4 linked regions of the Saccharomyces cerevisiae S288C genome follow. The protein of the gene in region 1 binds, or shares a complex with, the protein of each later gene. Each region holds a gene or a part of one and is shown in the gene's direction. Other genes may lie near its edges.

Evidence for each region.
Region 2: FIP1 (region 1) and PFS2 share a complex: the UniProt entries of both Saccharomyces cerevisiae proteins name them as parts of the cleavage and polyadenylation factor (CPF) complex.
Region 3: FIP1 (region 1) and CFT1 share a complex: the UniProt entries of both Saccharomyces cerevisiae proteins name them as parts of the cleavage and polyadenylation factor (CPF) complex.
Region 4: FIP1 (region 1) and SSU72 share a complex: the UniProt entries of both Saccharomyces cerevisiae proteins name them as parts of the cleavage and polyadenylation factor (CPF) complex.

Annotation. Positions count from the first base shown.
Region 1 is NC_001142.9:601,676-606,556, reverse strand, and holds FIP1 (cleavage polyadenylation factor subunit FIP1), read left to right. Parts: upstream 1-2,353; coding exon 2,354-3,337; downstream 3,338-4,881. Other genes in the region: transcription factor IME1, read left to right, coding at 906-1,988; BUD4 (Bud4p), read right to left, coding at 3,479-4,881. UniProt on the Saccharomyces cerevisiae protein: Polymerase-regulating component of the cleavage and polyadenylation factor (CPF) complex, which plays a key role in polyadenylation-dependent pre-mRNA 3'-end formation and cooperates with cleavage factors including the CFIA complex and NAB4/CFIB.
Region 2 is NC_001146.8:38,280-43,584, forward strand, and holds PFS2 (cleavage polyadenylation factor subunit PFS2), read left to right. Parts: upstream 1-2,339; coding exon 2,340-3,737; downstream 3,738-5,305. Other genes in the region: YNL320W (uncharacterized protein), read left to right, coding at 1-275; HXT14 (Hxt14p), read right to left, coding at 428-2,050; prephenate dehydratase PHA2, read right to left, coding at 3,792-4,796; ATP11 (Atp11p), read right to left, coding at 5,045-5,305. UniProt on the Saccharomyces cerevisiae protein: Integral and essential component of the cleavage and polyadenylation factor (CPF) complex, which plays a key role in polyadenylation-dependent pre-mRNA 3'-end formation and cooperates with cleavage factors including the CFIA complex and NAB4/CFIB.
Region 3 is NC_001136.10:1,060,727-1,068,652, forward strand, and holds CFT1 (cleavage/polyadenylation factor CFT1), read left to right. Parts: upstream 1-2,625; coding exon 2,626-6,699; downstream 6,700-7,926. Other genes in the region: rRNA-processing protein BFR2, read left to right, coding at 1-505; PRO1 (glutamate 5-kinase), read right to left, coding at 779-2,065; mannose-ethanolamine phosphotransferase GPI11, read left to right, coding at 7,005-7,664. UniProt on the Saccharomyces cerevisiae protein: RNA-binding component of the cleavage and polyadenylation factor (CPF) complex, which plays a key role in polyadenylation-dependent pre-mRNA 3'-end formation and cooperates with cleavage factors including the CFIA complex and NAB4/CFIB.
Region 4 is NC_001146.8:226,357-230,952, forward strand, and holds SSU72 (RNA polymerase II subunit A C-terminal domain phosphatase), read left to right. Parts: upstream 1-2,737; coding exon 2,738-3,358; downstream 3,359-4,596. Other genes in the region: SQS1 (Sqs1p), read right to left, coding at 1-743; cysteine protease ATG4, read left to right, coding at 1,014-2,498. UniProt on the Saccharomyces cerevisiae protein: Component of the cleavage and polyadenylation factor (CPF) complex, which plays a key role in polyadenylation-dependent pre-mRNA 3'-end formation and cooperates with cleavage factors including the CFIA complex and NAB4/CFIB.

The DNA of each region.
Region 1 (4,881 bases):
CACTATTCGGGTAAGGAAGTGTCATGCATGTCTGCAAAGGGACTAGAAGAAAGTTACATGATTACATAAGCAAAAAATCGGAATTACAGACACACCATTTTTTATCCTGCGGCCCCATTTCCGTCTTCGAGGGAAAGGATCAAAGGCGCTTAGCCCAATCTTGATGATTCACCGGGGAAGAAAGGAATTACAGAACCCCCAGCCACGTAACACAGCCAATTAGTTTTCTATATCGGGAAACGTGATTGATTGCGCAATTTTGGCTGCATCAGAATACATCGATGAGATCTAGAGCACCCTTTGATGGTTTAAGTCCGGTTTAAAGTTAGTAGATCAATGATTTCGTAGTGCATTTTAAAGGGAGCGCTTATCCATGGGTGATTGCGTTTACAACGTTTTGTGTGTACTCATAATAGCCAATCTAAAATTAAACAACAACAACAACGCACAATTAATATGTATCAGCCCCAATACCTTTTTCTCTTACTGTAATTTACTACTAAATTGGGGTCGGACGTTTTTGATCTTGTTCCTTGCCTGTTGTTTACCTTGTATATTACTTTTCCTCTTTTATGTATTTAAGGTAAATTAATTATCTTTTGATCTTAATATTTTTCTCAAAATGCTTCCCTTGTAGTTCGGTATTTTTGCTTCTTCAGATATTTAAACTACCGTATACCATAACTGTTTCGTGAAGTAGATACAAACATCGACTATCCTATTACGATTTATTTTACATTATCATATTATAAATCGACCAGTAGTATTGTTAAAGATTAAAAGCATAATATACTACTGTCATTAGTCACCTACAGAGAAACAAATTCCTACTGGCACCCATTACTGGTGAAAAAGGAAAAAAATAATAAAAGAAAAGCTTTTCTATTCCTCTCCCCACAAACAAAATGCAAGCGGATATGCATGGAAAACTTCACGCTGCCTTAGAAGATGGTTTCTTCCTCTTTCCTTTTGAACAGCAACAACAACCTAACATTTATTATGACACAACCACCGATCAAGAAGACCGTCCTTGTTTTTCTTTTGGATCTACAATTTCCCCTAGAAGTTGGCATTTTGAAAAGTCTGACAAAATTGCCTCATCTCAGCTGCAGAACTTGGTTCATACACAACCAATTCATTTAATTAATCCTCAAATATTGTTCAATGAAGAGTTTCTGAATTTGGAAAATATTGATTCTCAGCCTATTTCCAAGGAAACGAAAACTACGAAGGACTGCACAATGGCAACTGGTCCTGAAAGAGGAAAAAAGAGCTCTGAAAGTACCAGATCCTCTTCATTATCATCTCTTTTTTCTAATGATGAATCCGCATCTACGTTCCACTCATCATTCAATAACCATGATAACTTTCAAAAGAGCAACAGAAATGGAGATGATATCGATATTAGTGACACAATAAAATATGAAACTAATACAAATGCACAAAAAGATATCAAAATATTCCAAGAAAATTTTGAATTCAATGAATTCCCATACACACAAGACTTCTACCCATATACCACTAATTATACCTATTCAAAACCCACAAATATTCATGAATCAATAAATTCAAAAAACACGGATTCATACTCCCAATATCAAGATCAGTTTCCACCACATACTGATAACATACATTCCTTTAATAATCGTCACTATAGCAACCATAAAAGCACTAATTGTAATTACTATAATAATACCAGCAATAATAACAACGCCTCCGATAATGTATATGAGGCAGATCCATTTATAGATGAACCTCAGGTGCCCTCCTACTATTACCCATTAGAAATTGCCTTCGACGTTGAAAAATCACCACCGCCATCACTACAAAAATTAAATTCAAAAGAGTTAGAATTCCTAAAAAAGTTGAACTCCAAACTGTCAAGATATGCTGCGGCTTACTCCTTCAGCAGTTCTAATGATCAAGATTATTATGACAAGGTCAGGTTTCAAGAAATATCCTACAAGTTTAGTAAAACCTATTCTTAATTCTCGAAAAGTACTACAATCTTCCCCCTTCCCTCAAAATATATCCATTCACACTCATTTCTTTATTTCCATTGTCTCACTCAAATTGCTAAGAATTTGTGTATTTGCATATATATATATTATATATAGGTATATATATGTATTCAATGTCTCAAGCTCCATGACATAATACCGTAGCGTTATTAGCCTTATCGTATGTCGCGATGGGAAAGGAGATTCGTTTTAATCTTGAAAAACCTTCGTAGCGAATAATGCGACATAAATCTTGAGAGAGTACATCACCAAATTCACTTTGTTAAACCGCACCATCGTGCTTTGCATTCTTATTCCTTTTGCCTACACTAAAATTATTAGCATTTCTCTAAATGAGCTCCAGTGAAGACGAAGACGACAAGTTCTTGTATGGTTCCGACTCCGAATTAGCACTACCTTCATCTAAACGATCAAGAGATGATGAAGCAGACGCAGGTGCGTCCAGTAATCCTGATATAGTTAAAAGGCAAAAATTCGACTCTCCCGTGGAAGAAACTCCAGCTACTGCCAGAGATGATCGTTCTGATGAAGATATCTACTCTGACTCCTCAGATGACGATAGTGATTCTGACCTAGAGGTTATCATAAGTCTGGGTCCTGACCCTACTAGGTTAGATGCAAAACTACTCGATTCTTATTCTACCGCAGCGACATCTTCAAGCAAAGACGTAATTAGCGTAGCTACAGATGTATCCAATACCATCACAAAGACATCAGATGAAAGACTAATAACAGAAGGAGAAGCAAATCAAGGTGTAACGGCAACGACCGTAAAAGCTACAGAGAGCGATGGAAATGTACCGAAAGCAATGACTGGTTCTATAGACCTGGATAAAGAGGGAATCTTTGATAGTGTTGGCATAACGACAATAGATCCTGAAGTATTAAAGGAGAAACCCTGGAGGCAACCGGGGGCCAACTTAAGTGATTATTTCAATTACGGTTTTAACGAATTTACCTGGATGGAGTATTTACATAGACAGGAAAAACTACAACAAGATTATAATCCTAGGAGGATCCTAATGGGCCTATTATCCCTCCAACAGCAAGGGAAGTTGAATTCCGCGAATGATACAGACTCAAACCTCGGTAATATAATTGATAACAACAACAACGTAAACAATGCAAATATGTCTAATCTGAACAGTAATATGGGTAATAGTATGTCTGGAACACCAAACCCTCCCGCTCCACCAATGCATCCAAGCTTCCCACCCTTACCTATGTTTGGTAGCTTTCCACCATTCCCCATGCCAGGTATGATGCCACCCATGAACCAACAGCCTAATCAAAATCAAAATCAAAATTCGAAATGAATGGGGATCTGTGAAATTGAAATAAAAATATATCGTCCATGATTCACGTATTTACTCTTATTATGTGTATTTAATTAATCTTTAAACTAAAGACCTCTCAGTCATCAGATTATATGCTGTTTTCATTCCATTAATCACCTTCTAATTAAAATCTTGCTTCAAATTATGACCGGTTGTTCGAGTCTTTTCCTCCTCAGCTAACTTTTCACAATACTTTTTCACCCAGGGTTGATGGAAAACATTCAACTCAACAACTTCCTGGAGCTTATTGTACCAATCACTTTTTTCCTCATTAGAGCATTCCGCGTTGAAAGTAATTCTTTCACCATCGTCAAATACTAGCTGGAAGCATTCATTAAAGAGTACCCAATCTGTAAAATTCCTTTGCCCTCCATTATCCGCCTGGATGTCTTCATTACGTAGGACTTTCGTGACTTTCAACAGATTAATATCGATCTTAGCCTTTCTAGAGATTTCATGATAACCAGAAAGTTGCGAGCCGTGCAGTTTGAAAAACCTGTTTTCTATCTTTCCTTTCAGATCACCACCATCCTGCAATAAATACCCTTCTTTATAGATATTTTGTTGCAACTTGTATTTGGAAACAATCTTATTGACCAATGAAAATTGTTTGGGAAATTGTTCAAAGGCAGAAGTTCTTTCTAAGAAACATGCTTCCACATCCAACGAAGCCACTTTGTGAGGCGCCTTGCGTGGTAACTCGTACAGCCTTTTTGAGCCGTGAATTTTGTCTGCGATTCTACTCCACTTGTTAATCATATTGTAATGCATATGACTGGTATTAAATGCCACGTTTTTCAAAAACTCTTCATTAATTTCAATTTCACAACGAGCAAATGAACCGTCTTGTGCAAATAGATAATCCCACTCATCTTGTTTAGGTTTTTTCTGTACATACTTCTTTTCAAATTTATACTTTGTCTTTCCAAAAAAACTCTTACCCACCGGCACCTTGTCTACTATTTCGACCAATTCATGTCGAGGTTTTTCATATTTACATTTTAATGTGATAACACATTTTTTGTAGCTATCTCTTTCAGAAGAAGCGGAGGATGTTTCGGCTTTTCCTTTAAAATCTATGGGCAATTCAAATTCCTTATTGATCCTGATGTTACCGTCATACGGAAGCGACTCCCAGGGTGTCTGAACGACATTTTCCCCATTGTCAAAAACAATAGCATATGTTGCTCTATGACTCTTAGTTCCATATAATGCAAGCGTGGAAATAGCCTTTATACTTAAATAAAGTGTTCCCATATCCGGAAATTCTTGTTCAACGTCTTGTGGTTCTTCAAGTTGAGTTATCGTTTCTTCTTTTGCTTCGACGTTATCTTTTGTCTGCGCTAGCAGTGGAGGAATATCTTGTTTCAAACCATCGGTTTCTTGCTGCGTCATTGGCTCTATTTCCTCTTCAGCCTTAATGTTTATTTCATTATTCTCTTGTTTGTTTCCAGCTTTCACGACCTTGAAAGGACTGCTAACATGCCGTTTTATTGGACTTATACTACGAACTGGAGTGGAAG
Region 2 (5,305 bases), on another chromosome or scaffold:
TCCCCCTTTTGAAACGCTTTACGCTTTTATGTCACGAAATCTGGAATTCAGAAGGCCTTATGGGAAGCTGTAGTTCAGAGACGCCATTCTTGTTTTTAAGTGGATTAAAAGATGAAATCGTTCCACCCTTCCACATGAGGAAACTGTACGAAACATGTCCTAGTTCGAACAAAAAGATTTTCGAATTTCCACTTGGTTCACACAATGATACTATTATTCAAGATGGGTACTGGGATATAATAAGAGATTTTCTAATAGAGAAGGGTTTTATCTAAAAGTAATAATCAAAATATTTGATAGATTTATTTACTTTACTGTATGTAAAGAAAATGTGGTCAGTCCTCACGGCCACTTAGTTACTGATGGTTATTTATTATGGAAAAAAAAACTGCACTTTGCTACTTCTTCTATTTATATTATGTAATATCTACTCCGGTTCAAATATTTTATTGATCTCTTGCTCATTCTTTTTCCTCGTTTCAGGAACTAGTATCCAACTGAATATTATCAACGCTAATAGGCAAGCAGCAAATATGTATCCTAGTTTGAAATCAATTTTGGATACAATCATTGGTGTTAAAAGTGATATTAAGAAATTGAACATCCAATTGATAAATGTGCAAATAGCCATTGATATGGCCCTCGTTCTTAGAGGGAACAATTCGGACACTAGTACAAATGTAACTGGGCCCAATGTTATTGCAAACCAAAAAATAAAACAACAAGTCACGATAATTAAAACAATATTTGAGAAGTCCGTTTCTCTTCCAAATGTCCCCACAGTAGCATATGTCATCATATAAAATAATAAATTTGTTGAACCATATAATAAACATGTCTTGTGGCCCCATTTCTCCACGTAATATATGCCTAATATCGTAGAAAGGAAGTTAACACTTGACAGTATGATTGAAGTAATATAAGGATCCTTAATCCCGACACCTTTGAAAACAGACGTTCCGTAATAAAAGAAATAATTTATTCCGGACAGCTGTTGAAATGCCATTATCATCATACCAATAATCAGTCTCAACCATAACTTTGGCTTTCCCATAATAAATTCAAATGTGTTTCTTTTAACTAAGCTTTGCTTTTTTGATTCGTTGTTAGTTTCCTCATTATTATAGTTATTTTCCAGCAAATCATCGATGAATTCAATTACCATGCTATCCGTCGCAGGGATGCCATTCATCCTCGCAAAAGAGTATTTAGCAGAGGGCACATCATTTTTGATTTTTGCCAAGTACTGTGGAGATTCAGGAACGTAAACAAGTGACATTCCAATTATAATTGCCCAAATGTATCCCAAGAACAATGGCAATTGCCAGGCTATATTTTGTGTAGGATCTTTATAACATCTTTCGCATATGAAATTTAAAATGTTTCCCATTAGTATGCCAAATGTTACAATCAATTGATACGTAGATACCATGGAGCCTCTGATTTTTAGTGGAGAATTCTCGGAGAGAAACATTGGCACCAAGACAGTGGTTACTCCCACACCGATTCCCGTTACGGCTCTTCCCAATGTCAAAAAATACCACCTTCCATAGGAGAGAATTTGAATGGTTATACCGATGCAGTACACTACTAAGGCAAACCATATACCACCTTTCCTACCAATCCAATCACCGATTTTTGACAGAGTTAAAGCCCCTACGCCACAACTGATGTTAAAAATACTGATAATTAGGCCTATTTGCAGATCAGTAAGTTTCTTAGTAGATACAAAAATTGTTTCATCGTCATGGATAATATTAGTTGTGCCAAATTTTTCTTGAAAGCTAACCATATTTGTCATTCCACCGATGGTTCCAATGTCCCATCCAAAAATAAAGCCACCAAGCGAGATTACCAAGCACAATAAAACGGGAATATGCAGACTCGCATTGTGACTAATCTTTGCTGCTTGGCCTTCTATATTTTCTTCTTTATCATCTAGATACTTAATGGTTACATTATAATCCCTTCCCCTGCCTGCATCAAGCTCATTATTGTGAAAATGAGAGATGTATCCCGAGCTATGTTGATACGGAATCTGAGCAGTCATTTCTAGCAATAATTGAAGTACTTTACTTCCTAAGAATACGTTAACAAATTCTTTGTTAGTATTTCTAATTAAAAGTGGTTAATTGTTCTGTTAAACAGTATTCAATGTTGCTATTTGAATTTGTGTCATCATTAGAATTACTGACATTTTTATTTTCTATTTTTTTTTCTATTTTTTTTCCTCTTCTTTTGAGGGCCGACGTATCGATTTGTCAAGGGAAGTATAATTAAAGAAAGCACTGATATACAGGTTGCTGGGTAGATATTAAGAAGCTCAACATAGACACGTTATGGACGGGCATAATCAGAACCAGTACCAGAATCAGAATCAAATTCAGCAGTCACAACAACCACCTCTGAAGAAATATGTGACACAGAGACGATCGGTAGACGTGAGTTCTCCGTATATTAACCTATATTACAACAGACGACATGGATTACCGAACCTAGTGGTAGAGCCAGAAACTTCATACACAATAGATATAATGCCGCCTAATGCCTACAGAGGTCGAGATCGAGTCATAAATTTGCCCAGCAAATTTACGCATTTAAGCTCGAATAAAGTGAAACATGTGATACCCGCCATCCAATGGACCCCAGAAGGCAGAAGACTTGTAGTAGCAACTTATAGCGGAGAATTTTCTCTATGGAACGCATCTTCGTTTACGTTTGAAACCCTCATGCAAGCACATGATTCGGCTGTGACTACAATGAAATATTCTCACGACAGTGATTGGATGATTAGTGGGGACGCAGATGGAATGATTAAGATATGGCAACCAAACTTTAGTATGGTTAAAGAAATTGATGCTGCACACACGGAAAGTATTAGGGATATGGCATTCAGTAGTAACGACTCGAAATTTGTTACCTGTTCAGATGATAATATCTTGAAGATTTGGAACTTCAGCAATGGCAAACAAGAAAGAGTATTATCGGGGCACCACTGGGACGTGAAAAGTTGTGATTGGCATCCCGAGATGGGGTTAATTGCCTCCGCATCTAAGGACAATTTAGTAAAACTGTGGGATCCGCGTTCCGGAAACTGCATATCATCAATTCTGAAGTTCAAACATACTGTCTTGAAGACGCGATTTCAACCCACCAAGGGAAATCTATTAATGGCGATTTCAAAAGATAAATCGTGTCGTGTGTTCGACATTAGATACAGTATGAAGGAACTAATGTGTGTAAGAGATGAAACGGATTATATGACACTAGAATGGCACCCAATAAATGAATCTATGTTCACTCTGGCGTGCTATGACGGCTCGCTAAAGCATTTTGATCTTTTACAAAATCTAAACGAACCTATTTTGACTATTCCATACGCCCATGATAAGTGTATCACCTCGTTATCATATAATCCAGTAGGACATATATTTGCCACAGCAGCTAAGGATAGAACCATAAGATTTTGGACTAGAGCGAGGCCAATTGATCCTAATGCATATGATGATCCAACTTATAACAATAAGAAGATAAATGGATGGTTTTTTGGCATCAATAACGACATCAATGCTGTGAGAGAGAAGAGTGAATTCGGTGCGGCCCCGCCACCACCAGCTACACTTGAACCACATGCGTTACCAAACATGAATGGATTCATCAACAAGAAACCGCGTCAAGAAATCCCAGGCATCGATTCAAACATCAAGAGTTCCACATTGCCAGGTTTAAGCATATAAAAGTGCGCTTTGACGAGATTTTAGGATACATAAATAAAAAGACTATATAACATATTATTTGTGATAATATCTCTCATTTCTGGGGAATGTACCCCACAGGCACCACTGTTTACTTTTGTCGCTGATATCTTCATAGAATTTTTCTTTATTCTTTGGGGTATTCTTCTCGGTGTAATATTCAATGAAAAATAAATATCGCCAGTTTCTATCATGTTCGTCCAAATGGAATGGTCTAGAGTTTATAGAACACATGTTGAGTGAATGGATTTTTAGTATGTTCAAAACATCTACCAAAGAACCAGGGTCATCTTGACGAGTAGTAAAGGTGAGTAGGTTAACCCGTAGTAATCCAGTGTCTTCTACTTCATTGTCGCCTGCGTTCTCCCTTCTCTTCAATACTAAAAATCTTGTTGTATTTCCTAGCTTATCATTTATCGAATGTTCAATGATGTACGCCTTATGCAATTGGGCAGCTGTTTCACTAGCAATGGCTAAATGCAGAATGTTGTCGCAATCGGCCGTTGATGACCGAATGCATTGGTTCACTGATTCAGATGTGGAAGAACAATCCAATCTTATAAAGGTGACCTGCGGAAATTTTTCTGCCATGGACCTTAAGTAACATTCAACCTGGCCCCATACTTGCGGATGTGAGTGTATTATGACTTCTTCAAAATTTCCAAGGGATGCAATACCATTTGGTAGTTGGATTGGGCTGATTAGACAATGGGTAATGGGTACATATTGCTCCGCTATAACTTCTATATCTGGTGTAATTCTATTAGTATCTGCTGGAGCAGGTAAGGATAGGGCTTTTTTGATCATCCTATCACGCAAGAGATCATAGGAAAAAACTACTTGTCCATTGGTGGAATTTTCCAACGGTACCACTGAATAATCTATACTAGTGTCGTTCTCCAATTGGTTAAAACATTGGGGGATAGAGGCTGCTGGGAGGTACTCAACATCAGATGTTGATTGAAATTGTTGTAATGCAGCTTGATGGGAATACGTACCTTTGGGACCCAGAAAAAGAACCCTCAAAGTCTTGCTGGCCATAATTGAAGGATGAATGCGGAAATATAATGAAGTTGCTTTTCGTACTTTTTTAGCCTGTTCTTTCTGCGTATTATATTCATCTACTAAAATTTTTATTTTCATTTTTCATTATGAAAATACAAGAGTCATGCTGATAACTGTGTAAAGAAACTGTACGCTTGTCGCAGATGATGTAGTACGTATTTTATTTACAGGTGTCATTAATATATATATATATATATATATACGTATACGGAAGTAATTCTTCGTTAATTTTCCATGGACTGTGATAGCGAAATCAATTTCTCGACGGTGAATCCCGGAGAGGCCTTAGAGAAATCTCTTAACAACTGCACTCTCTGTTTAGCAACTGGAGTTTCTTCACCCATTGCACCATAAAACCTTTGCACGTTTAGCAATAACAGCTGTGCATCCTGTACATTCACGTTTGTATCCGGTTCAACATGGCCATTCATAAAAACAATTCCCTTATCCTTGACCAAATCAGAATGGAACTGCAAGGTAGTATG
Region 3 (7,926 bases), on another chromosome or scaffold:
CGTTGTCAAAGATAGTGTTGATGACAATGAGAATTCGGATGATGGGCTTGATATCCCGAAAAACTATGACCCAAGAAGAAAGGATAACAATGCCATTGACATTACCGAAAACCCATATGTTTTTGATGACGAAGATTTTTACCGTGTTTTACTAAACGATTTAATTGACAAAAAGATTTCCAACGCTCACAATTCTGAAAGTGCAGCAATTACAATCACCTCAACTAATGCTCGTTCGAACAACAAGCTAAAGAAGAATATCGATACTAAGGCTTCCAAGGGTAGGAAATTGAACTACTCAGTTCAAGATCCAATTGCGAATTATGAAGCCCCCATCACATCCGGATACAAATGGTCAGACGACCAAATCGATGAATTCTTTGCGGGATTGTTAGGTCAACGAGTGAACTTTAATGAAAATGAGGATGAGGAACAACATGCCAGAATAGAAAATGACGAAGAATTAGAGGCTGTTAAAAACGATGATATCCAAATCTTTGGTTGAATATACATTTATTTTAAATACGCACAACTCATTTAATTTAGGGCTTATAAGTAGATAGAAGGATTTTAACGGATCACAAAAAGTAGCTGTTAACAACTACCTTTTTTTTGAGTTAAGAACACTAATGTGGATTAGGAAGAAACAGCTGCTCTGCACAATTCTTCAAAAAAACAAAACATGCTTAATGTGTCATTATTTAACCTGGAAATATAAAGGTAGTGTTTTATATAAGAAATATCATTAAGGGAATCCTCTATAACTTTTTAGTTCGTTTCAACGAGGTGGGAATGCCAAATTTTCTCTATGAGCGACATATTCGCTGTCATTATAGCCCAATTCCTCTTCGATTTGGTCACTGTGCAAACCTTTAATTTTAGTTAATTCAGAACTCGTGTAATTGCATCTTGCCTTGCCTACTGTTTGCAAGGGAAAATCTGGATCTAACGTGCCATCTGGTAACTTTTTACCAACTTTTATGTCAACACATTCTAACTCATGGAAAGTGCCCTGAACATCAATAACACCTGCTGGCAATAATCCCGCCTTATTTTTCCTTGTTAAGGCTGCGTACGCACCTTGGTCTATAACAACAGCGCCTTTAGAGACAAGACCGTGTAAAATCCAAAACTCTCTATTCTTTAGATGGTGTTTATTATCATTAGCAATGAACTTCGTATGTAGTGGAACGTTAAGAGCCTTTAATTTCTCAAATTCTCTTTTTTGCAAATCCGTTAAATCGCCATTATATGCTTGTTTAACTTTATTTTCATCGTCAAGTTCTAGAGTTTGCATATACTCGACAATTCTACCTATATTCGCAGGTGTATCGCTTTTCATGATCAACGTATGAACACCGGCATTCGTTGCCAAATCTGCAGCAACCAATTTAGTTTCCATACCACCGGTCCCAACGTCAGAACCTGAACCACCAGCAGTATTCACACCGGGCAAACCCTTTGAGAGATCTGGGACAACTAAGATCGGCATGGCATCTGGGTTTGTCCTTGGATTATCAGTATACAAACAGTCAACATCTGTCAGTAAGAAAAGATAATCTGCATGGATTAAAGCAGAAGTAATTGCTGATAAAGTGTCATTGTCACCAAATTTGATTTCTCTAACAGATAGTGTGTCGTTTTCATTCACAATGGGAATAACGCCCATGTTCAACAATTCATTAATTGTGTTTTGAGCGTTCTTATATTGGGTCCAGTCCAGAATATCATTTCTGGTCAATAGAATTTGAGCGATACGTTGATCAAATTGCGAAAACAGAAGATCCCATCTCCCGATCAATCTACCCTGCCCAATAGCTGCGATGGCCTGAACTTCTGCTAAATGTTTTGGTCTTTTATTCATACGCATAGTCCTCAAACCAACAGCAATACCACCACTGGACACGATGATAACTTTGTGTCCCATTCTTCTCAATTTGACTACAGTTTCGACAATAAGCGACATGATAGCTAACTTAGGTTCTTTGGTTTTTTCATCTACTAGCGATGAAGAGCCTAATTTGATCACTATAGTATACGATTTACTCTCATTAGCATCCTTCATTTTCGCGTTCTTATGACTATATTACAGTAGCTGATAAAATGACCTAAACTATGCCTATCTTTGAAGCAACTAGACATTAATCTTGAAAGACCGTTTTGATGGATGAATAATTCATCGAGAAAGCATTAGTTCGCTGATGTAATTTTTCATTTCCTGCCATCATGCGATGTGTGGGTGCTATTTATTTTCAATTCCTTTACCAAGGTACCTGATAGTGTCATAAATAAATAAATTTAGACCAAAATGTAACCATTGATAAGTGAGAGTCTTAAATTTAACATGTTCATACTTTAACTGGTGCTCAACCGATATATTATGATTCACTGTGCCACTGACCAGCCCTATTAGTGACATTTTGTGCTTCCTCATCCCGTCGGCTCCCAATAAGACAACGTAGTAAGTGATCTTAATATAAGGTAAGTTCGAGGTGACATATTTCACAGAGCAGCGTTAAAGCAATCATATGTAAATTGAGGAAGATCACCGTCCCTTGAACACTTCACTGATTAAAACTATCAGGTACTAACCTAGATTCGCTTTTTACTCTAGCTACTGGCCCTATGAATGTATATGATGATGTGCTTGACGCTACTGTTGTGTCTCATTCATTAGCAACACATTTTACTACTTCAGATTATGAGGAGCTCTTAGTGGTGCGAACAAATATCCTTTCTGTCTACAGGCCTACTAGGGATGGTAAACTGTATTTGACTGATGAGTTTAAGTTTCATGGCTTGATCACCGATATAGGCCTCATTCCCCAAAAAGACAGTCCGTTAAGTTGCCTGCTTTTATGCACAGGCGTCGCTAAAATCTCTATTTTAAAGTTCAACACGCTAACAAACTCAATCGATACCCTAAGCCTGCATTACTACGAAGGAAAGTTCAAGGGTAAATCGTTGGTAGAGCTGGCCAAAATTTCCACCTTGAGAATGGATCCTGGAAGTTCTTGTGCCTTACTGTTCAATAATGACATTATCGCTTTTCTACCCTTCCATGTCAATAAAAATGACGACGATGAGGAGGAAGAAGATGAGGACGAGAACATAGACGATAGTGAATTAATCCATAGCATGAATCAAAAATCCCAAGGGACGAATACTTTCAATAAGAGGAAGAGAACCAAGTTAGGTGACAAGTTCACGGCTCCAAGCGTGGTATTGGTAGCGAGTGAGTTGTACGAAGGCGCCAAAAATATCATAGATATTCAGTTCTTGAAAAATTTTACTAAACCAACGATAGCGCTCTTATACCAACCAAAGCTTGTTTGGGCAGGAAACACCACCATTTCAAAACTCCCTACACAATACGTTATACTCACATTAAATATCCAGCCTGCAGAAAGTGCCACCAAGATTGAATCAACCACAATAGCATTTGTCAAGGAACTGCCTTGGGATCTACACACCATTGTACCTGTTTCGAATGGTGCTATCATTGTGGGAACCAATGAACTGGCATTTCTAGATAATACTGGCGTTTTACAATCGACAGTATTATTAAACTCATTTGCTGATAAAGAGTTACAGAAAACAAAAATTATCAACAATTCTTCATTGGAAATTATGTTCAGGGAGAAAAACACTACGTCAATTTGGATACCTTCGTCCAAGAGCAAAAACGGAGGAAGTAATAATGACGAAACACTACTACTTATGGACTTGAAATCCAATATATACTATATCCAAATGGAAGCAGAGGGCAGGTTACTGATTAAATTCGATATTTTCAAGCTACCTATAGTCAATGATCTTTTGAAGGAGAACTCCAATCCAAAATGTATAACACGTTTGAATGCCACCAATTCAAACAAAAATATGGACTTATTTATTGGGTTTGGTTCAGGAAATGCTTTGGTTCTCAGATTGAATAATTTGAAATCTACCATTGAAACAAGAGAAGCACACAATCCATCTTCAGGTACAAATAGTTTGATGGATATCAATGACGACGATGATGAGGAAATGGACGATTTATACGCCGATGAAGCTCCTGAAAATGGACTAACAACTAATGATTCCAAAGGCACTGTGGAAACTGTTCAACCTTTCGATATCGAACTGTTATCATCTCTAAGGAATGTTGGTCCCATCACATCGTTAACTGTAGGTAAGGTATCTTCCATTGATGATGTGGTAAAAGGACTACCAAATCCAAACAAAAACGAGTATTCGCTAGTTGCCACATCGGGAAATGGTTCAGGTTCTCATTTGACCGTCATACAGACTAGTGTTCAACCGGAAATTGAATTAGCATTGAAATTTATCAGTATAACACAAATCTGGAATCTGAAGATCAAAGGAAGAGATAGGTACTTAATAACTACTGATTCCACAAAATCCCGGAGTGACATATATGAAAGTGACAATAACTTCAAACTTCATAAGGGCGGCCGTTTAAGAAGAGATGCTACTACAGTTTACATTTCAATGTTTGGTGAAGAAAAAAGAATAATACAAGTCACCACCAATCACTTATATTTATATGATACACATTTTAGACGTCTCACCACAATTAAATTTGACTACGAAGTTATTCATGTTTCCGTCATGGATCCGTATATACTAGTTACCGTATCAAGGGGTGATATTAAGATATTTGAATTGGAGGAAAAGAATAAAAGAAAATTGTTAAAAGTTGATTTGCCAGAAATTTTGAATGAAATGGTTATTACATCTGGTTTGATTTTGAAAAGCAATATGTGTAATGAATTTTTGATTGGGTTGAGTAAGTCTCAAGAAGAACAGTTATTGTTTACATTTGTTACTGCAGATAACCAAATTATCTTTTTTACTAAAGACCATAATGACAGAATCTTTCAACTAAATGGTGTTGACCAATTAAATGAATCTTTATACATTAGCACTTATCAACTGGGCGATGAGATCGTCCCTGATCCATCGATTAAACAAGTAATGATAAACAAACTGGGCCATGACAATAAAGAAGAATACCTGACAATATTAACCTTCGGAGGAGAGATTTACCAATATAGAAAATTACCACAAAGACGTAGTAGATTTTATAGAAACGTTACAAGAAATGATCTAGCTATTACTGGTGCTCCTGACAATGCATACGCCAAGGGTGTTAGTTCCATCGAAAGAATCATGCATTACTTTCCCGATTACAACGGTTATTCGGTAATATTTGTAACCGGTAGCGTTCCATACATATTAATAAAAGAAGATGATTCCACACCGAAGATTTTCAAATTCGGAAACATACCATTGGTTTCAGTCACTCCCTGGAGCGAGCGTTCAGTCATGTGTGTAGATGATATTAAAAACGCCAGAGTTTACACACTAACTACTGACAATATGTACTATGGTAACAAATTACCATTGAAACAGATAAAGATCAGCAATGTGCTTGATGACTACAAAACTCTGCAAAAACTAGTCTATCATGAAAGGGCTCAATTGTTTCTTGTATCTTATTGCAAGCGGGTTCCTTACGAAGCATTAGGAGAAGATGGCGAAAAAGTAATTGGTTATGACGAGAATGTTCCTCATGCGGAAGGATTTCAAAGTGGAATTTTACTCATTAATCCAAAAAGTTGGAAGGTCATTGATAAAATCGACTTTCCAAAGAATTCTGTCGTCAATGAAATGAGATCCTCTATGATTCAAATTAATTCAAAAACTAAGAGGAAAAGAGAATACATTATAGCCGGTGTTGCCAATGCCACCACTGAAGACACTCCACCAACTGGCGCTTTCCATATTTATGATGTGATAGAAGTTGTTCCCGAACCTGGTAAACCTGATACCAATTATAAGCTCAAGGAAATTTTTCAAGAAGAGGTCAGTGGTACTGTATCTACTGTTTGTGAGGTTAGTGGAAGATTCATGATTAGTCAAAGCCAAAAAGTTCTAGTAAGAGATATCCAAGAAGATAATTCCGTCATACCAGTGGCATTTTTGGATATTCCTGTTTTCGTTACGGATTCTAAAAGCTTTGGTAATCTTTTGATAATTGGTGACGCTATGCAGGGGTTCCAATTTATTGGTTTTGACGCAGAACCATACAGGATGATTTCATTGGGCAGAAGTATGTCGAAATTTCAAACAATGTCGCTAGAGTTTTTAGTGAACGGAGGGGATATGTATTTTGCGGCAACAGATGCTGACAGAAATGTTCATGTTTTAAAATATGCGCCAGATGAACCCAACTCTCTTTCGGGTCAACGTTTAGTCCACTGCTCCAGTTTCACGTTGCATTCCACCAATAGTTGTATGATGCTTTTACCAAGAAACGAGGAATTTGGCTCTCCTCAAGTGCCATCGTTTCAAAACGTTGGTGGCCAAGTGGATGGGTCAGTCTTCAAGATAGTTCCTTTAAGTGAGGAAAAATACAGAAGACTTTATGTGATTCAACAACAAATCATCGATCGAGAATTACAGCTAGGTGGTTTAAACCCTCGCATGGAAAGATTGGCCAACGACTTTTATCAGATGGGTCACTCTATGAGGCCTATGCTTGATTTCAACGTTATACGGAGGTTCTGTGGATTAGCTATTGATAGACGGAAAAGCATTGCGCAGAAAGCAGGAAGACATGCGCATTTTGAAGCATGGAGAGATATCATAAATATTGAATTTTCAATGAGATCTTTATGCCAGGGTAAGTGAACAATACATATAAAGGATATTTAATGCTAACTAGCCCGATATATACATCTATCTATCACTAGGCATTCGAGTAGTGAATAAGAACCACTACTTGAAACACTAGATTTGTAACAATAACGCATGTATCATCGTACATTTTCGGAACTATTTACGTAACGCGGGGATGAGGAAAAAGTTACTTTTTGCACAGCAAAAAAAACAAATAAAGAACAGTTAGTGAAATAAAGCAAAAGTGCAAACGGTGCCTTTAATCAAAGACTTTGCAGGAACATAAACAAGTGCACTAAAGAAGGTCCAATTTAAATATGCCAGCTAAAAAAAGGACTAGAAAGACAGTGAAAAAAACCGTATCATTCTCCGATGACACAACATTAACAACGCACCAAAATCGTGAGAAAAAGAACGTAGATCATGATCGTCCACCTGTGTATGTGAGGAAAACCCCTCTGATGACATTTCCATACCATTTAGTAGCACTACTTTATTACTACGTTTTTGTATCTTCAAATTTCAATACGGTGAAGTTGCTAAGTTTTTTGATTCCTACACAAGTTGCTTATTTAGTTTTACAATTCAATAAATGCACAGTTTACGGTAACAAAATCATTAAGATCAATTACTCATTGACCATTATTTGTCTAGGTGTTACATTTTTGTTGAGCTTTCCCACAATGTTATTAACTATATTATTTGGTGCGCCATTAATGGACTTATTGTGGGAAACCTGGCTGTTGTCACTGCATTTTGCATTTTTAGCATACCCTGCAGTTTATTCTGTATTTAATTGTGATTTCAAAGTGGGATTATGGAAGAAGTATTTTATCTTTATCGTTGTAGGGGGTTGGATTAGTTGTGTTGTCATTCCTTTGGATTGGGATAGAGATTGGCAGAATTGGCCAATTCCTATTGTTGTTGGAGGTTATTTGGGCGCTTTGGTGGGCTATACTATCGGTGCCTATATATAATATCGGTAATTTAAAAATTTGTATATAAAAAAATATAAGTATGATAGAGGTAACATAAACTGGTCCTATGCACAATTGAAAAATCTATGACAAAAACTAAATGATCTTTATACCAAACCCACCTATATGCTATTTGTACCATCTTAAAAGAAGGTAATAACTTCCATACAGATAAATAGCTAACAACATTAAATATCTCCCACTCTCCTCATTCTTTTCTTTTCATAATTTCCTTTTTCTGATTTATTCATTCTATATAAAA
Region 4 (4,596 bases), on another chromosome or scaffold:
CCAATTGTTAAGATAGGATCGAACTCTATCGCAACTTCTCTTGGCCTTGCGATTTCCTCGATACATACTCTTTTTATTTTGGTTAGATCCGGCGATTGCTGAGCCTCTTCATCTACAAAAAACAGGTCACCATCTTCAACTTTGCTTTCATTCGAAGACAGCGAGTGGTCCGTCGAGGGTGAATTCTGACTATCATCATCCTCGTTTTCACTGTCTTCATTGTTAATATATTCAACATCAGAAGTCATCTTTCCTGGTTCTTCAAAAACGTCTGCTTCCCTTTCGACAATTTCTTCACTGTTCTTTGTTTCGTTCTTTGCTCTCAGTTTTTGAATCATATTGTGGGATGGATCGTAAACTTCCTTAGCTTTTACAAATTGCATAGGTCTTTTGCGGAATGCTGCCCTTCCTGCTTGTAGGTCAGTTGAAGAATCATATCGATTACCTGGTCTTAAACCACCCATTTTCATAGAACGGCTCTTGGCATCGCGACCAAAATAATAGTCTTCTATAGTTTTTGGTGATATGAATGCTCTTCCTGGGTTGAAGTCGGCGCCTACATCATCAAGATCACCTTCTCCTAGTGGTATAGAAGAGTTATGCCAACTGTTAGTGGGAGTAGGTTTTTTCTTTATCTTTCTGCCTTGTATGCCTTTAGCATTCCCCCTGCCAGCTTTCTTGGAATTGCTACCACGTGCATGCCTACGTCTGCTTCCTTGATAATGACTATGCCTTTTTGCCATTTTTTTTGACGGTTACAACAATTTATGCTTATATTTGACTCTGCGATTAAATCACTTCTTCCTTCTAGAAACTCTGCGCAGGCCTAATTGTTGTTGTTTTGTTCAGATCTTATTTAATTGTAAAATGTCAAATTTCACTTTTATTCTTTAGGCGGTGACCGTTGCAGCTGCCAACAATAGCGCCTCAAAGGAAAAAAGTAAAAATATACACACAATAACGTTAGTAGATGAAGAATGGACGACTTCTTATCACGTATAGGAGTGATATACATGCAGAGGTGGCTACAACTGTGGAAAATGGATTTGGTACAAAAAGTGTCTCATGGCGTTTTTGAAGGCTCGTCCGAAGAACCGGCTGCTCTTATGAATCATGATTATATAGTATTAGGGGAAGTATATCCTGAGCGAGACGAAGAATCTGGCGCTGAACAATGTGAACAAGACTGTCGATATCGCGGTGAAGCGGTTAGTGACGGGTTTTTAAGCTCTCTTTTTGGTAGGGAAATTTCTTCTTACACAAAGGAATTTCTTTTGGATGTACAATCAAGGGTCAACTTTACATATCGGACAAGATTTGTTCCTATAGCAAGGGCGCCAGATGGGCCTTCACCTTTAAGTCTAAATTTATTAGTACGTACAAATCCGATCAGTACAATAGAGGACTATATAGCAAATCCTGATTGCTTTAACACTGATATTGGGTGGGGGTGTATGATAAGGACAGGACAAAGTTTGTTGGGGAATGCCTTACAAATCCTTCATTTGGGCAGAGATTTCAGGGTAAATGGTAACGAAAGTCTGGAAAGAGAATCAAAATTTGTAAATTGGTTTAATGACACGCCTGAGGCTCCATTTTCGTTACATAACTTTGTTTCTGCAGGTACAGAACTCTCTGATAAAAGACCAGGTGAATGGTTTGGTCCCGCAGCTACGGCAAGGAGTATACAATCTTTAATATATGGCTTCCCCGAATGTGGCATCGATGATTGTATAGTATCTGTTTCATCCGGCGATATCTATGAAAATGAAGTTGAAAAAGTATTTGCTGAGAATCCAAATAGTAGAATATTGTTCTTGTTGGGCGTGAAGCTCGGGATTAATGCGGTAAATGAGAGCTATAGAGAAAGTATATGTGGTATCTTAAGTTCAACACAGTCAGTAGGCATTGCCGGCGGTAGGCCGTCTTCATCGTTGTATTTTTTTGGTTATCAAGGAAATGAATTTTTACATTTCGATCCTCATATTCCTCAACCGGCAGTAGAAGATTCATTTGTAGAGTCGTGCCATACCAGTAAATTTGGTAAATTGCAACTATCGGAAATGGATCCCTCGATGCTCATTGGTATTTTGATTAAGGGCGAAAAAGACTGGCAACAATGGAAGCTAGAAGTTGCAGAATCTGCTATTATCAATGTTCTTGCTAAGAGAATGGATGACTTTGATGTGAGTTGTAGTATGGATGACGTGGAAAGTGTAAGTTCTAACTCAATGAAGAAAGATGCAAGCAATAATGAAAATCTCGGAGTACTAGAGGGAGACTACGTAGATATTGGTGCAATATTCCCACACACAACAAATACAGAAGATGTAGACGAATATGATTGTTTTCAAGATATTCATTGCAAGAAACAGAAGATTGTTGTTATGGGAAACACACACACTGTTAATGCGAATTTAACAGATTATGAAGTAGAAGGCGTCCTTGTAGAGAAGGAAACGGTAGGTATTCACAGTCCTATTGATGAAAAATGCTAGTGTAAGGAATTCACTAGTTCATAAGCATATATACTTGTTTTAATATATTCCCTAAAACTGAGGTATCCAGTTCTTTTGTTCTTATTCGTTTGATCATCCTTTACGTATTTTTCGTCTGCGGCAGTGGAAAGAACTTAAAAAACGAAAGATAATAAAGAAAAAGGCCAGTCGGCACGAATTAAAGACCACCTGTAAGAAGATTAAGACAACGGTGGTATAAACTAGTGTCGAAGTCCAAAATGCCTAGTCATCGCAATTCAAACTTGAAGTTTTGCACAGTTTGTGCATCAAACAACAATCGTTCAATGGAATCGCATAAAGTCCTGCAAGAAGCAGGCTATAATGTTAGCTCTTACGGAACAGGTTCAGCTGTGAGACTGCCTGGTCTATCGATAGATAAGCCTAATGTGTACTCATTTGGTACACCCTATAATGATATATATAATGATCTTTTATCACAATCAGCAGACCGTTACAAGTCGAACGGTTTATTGCAAATGCTGGATCGTAATAGAAGACTCAAAAAAGCACCTGAAAAATGGCAAGAAAGTACAAAAGTCTTCGACTTCGTTTTCACTTGTGAAGAGAGATGTTTTGATGCCGTTTGTGAAGATTTGATGAATAGAGGTGGGAAATTAAACAAAATAGTGCATGTAATTAATGTTGACATTAAAGATGATGATGAAAATGCTAAAATTGGTAGCAAAGCTATATTGGAATTAGCTGATATGCTCAATGATAAAATAGAACAATGTGAAAAAGATGACATTCCCTTTGAAGATTGTATAATGGACATTTTAACTGAGTGGCAAAGCTCACATTCTCAACTACCGTCATTATACGCTCCTTCATATTACTAAACAAAACGGTCAATTACTGTAGAAAAGCATAAGCATTAAGCGGCCCTCATGAATCCTACATTATCCGTGAAATTTCAATACTTTCACAAGTCTTCGATAGCTTCCTAGTTATATTCATTATATAATATTACGTTTCTTGTTGCGGCTCTCTTAAGCACATTATTTGCTTGTTGTCCACATAGCTATTTTTTTATCAAGAAGCTTGATATACAACACACTGTATTTTTAGTAAGCTGGACAATGTCTTGTCTCAATGTAGCGTATAACAGGTTTCATTCCAAAACACATCACCAGATATAGGACTGAAATGAAGAAAATAGAAGCATGAAACTTTAAAAGTTTCAGTACTTTAAGAAAGAAATAAATAGAAAAATGTTCCATTTATTTCTGAAAATAAATCAAAAATTATAAGATCCACCCGTTCCTACCAAGACCTTCCAAAATTTTTCCCATAACGGGAACGAGCAAAGTTGAGACTGCTCAAAAGAGCACATCTTCAAACTACAATCCCGACCAAATAATCTCAACAGCCATACCTTCATCATAAACTTAAGTTCATTCGAATCTGCCGTCAAAAACTAAAATGGCACGCTAGAGAAAAGTAGTCAAAAAGAATGCCTCTACAAAGCTCTCTTTTGAAAGGCCCCAGCTCCCCTAACACCAATTTGAATTTGGTGTCAAACTTCTCCAGGCAGAAGAAACAAAGGGCCCCAAAAATCAGTTTAACCCAAAAATCCCCAAAGGAATCAAGGGATTAACCAATGATTGAAACAAGGGAATGGAAACGTCAGCAAACACGCCTTCCGCGCCGTATGTGTGTGTGACCAAGGAGTTTGCATCAATGACTTCAATGAACAATTATAGTTCAATGATAAATGCTTAACGTCCTTCTACTATTGGAAGCGCATGTTTGATCAGTAGGACTTCTTGATCTCCTCTGATATCTTAAGGTAAGTATGAGGATTTTAAAAAAATTCAAGAAAAAACTATATTTTAACGCTAAAAGTATGTTTGTAAAATAGTTCTATTAAATGGAACTTCTTCTCTCTATTTATACGTCTTGCCAATGGAAAACTCGTCGCCTTAGAAAAAAAAAAGGTGCAAAGACGGGTAATAATTTCATTGACATTTTCAAGAGCTAGGGAATGAATCAATGAGCCCTATGATGGCAGCGTAGATCACCGTATTTAAATTAACATATAATAAGATTTGTTGCCACTTTCAATCTCTAAATGTGT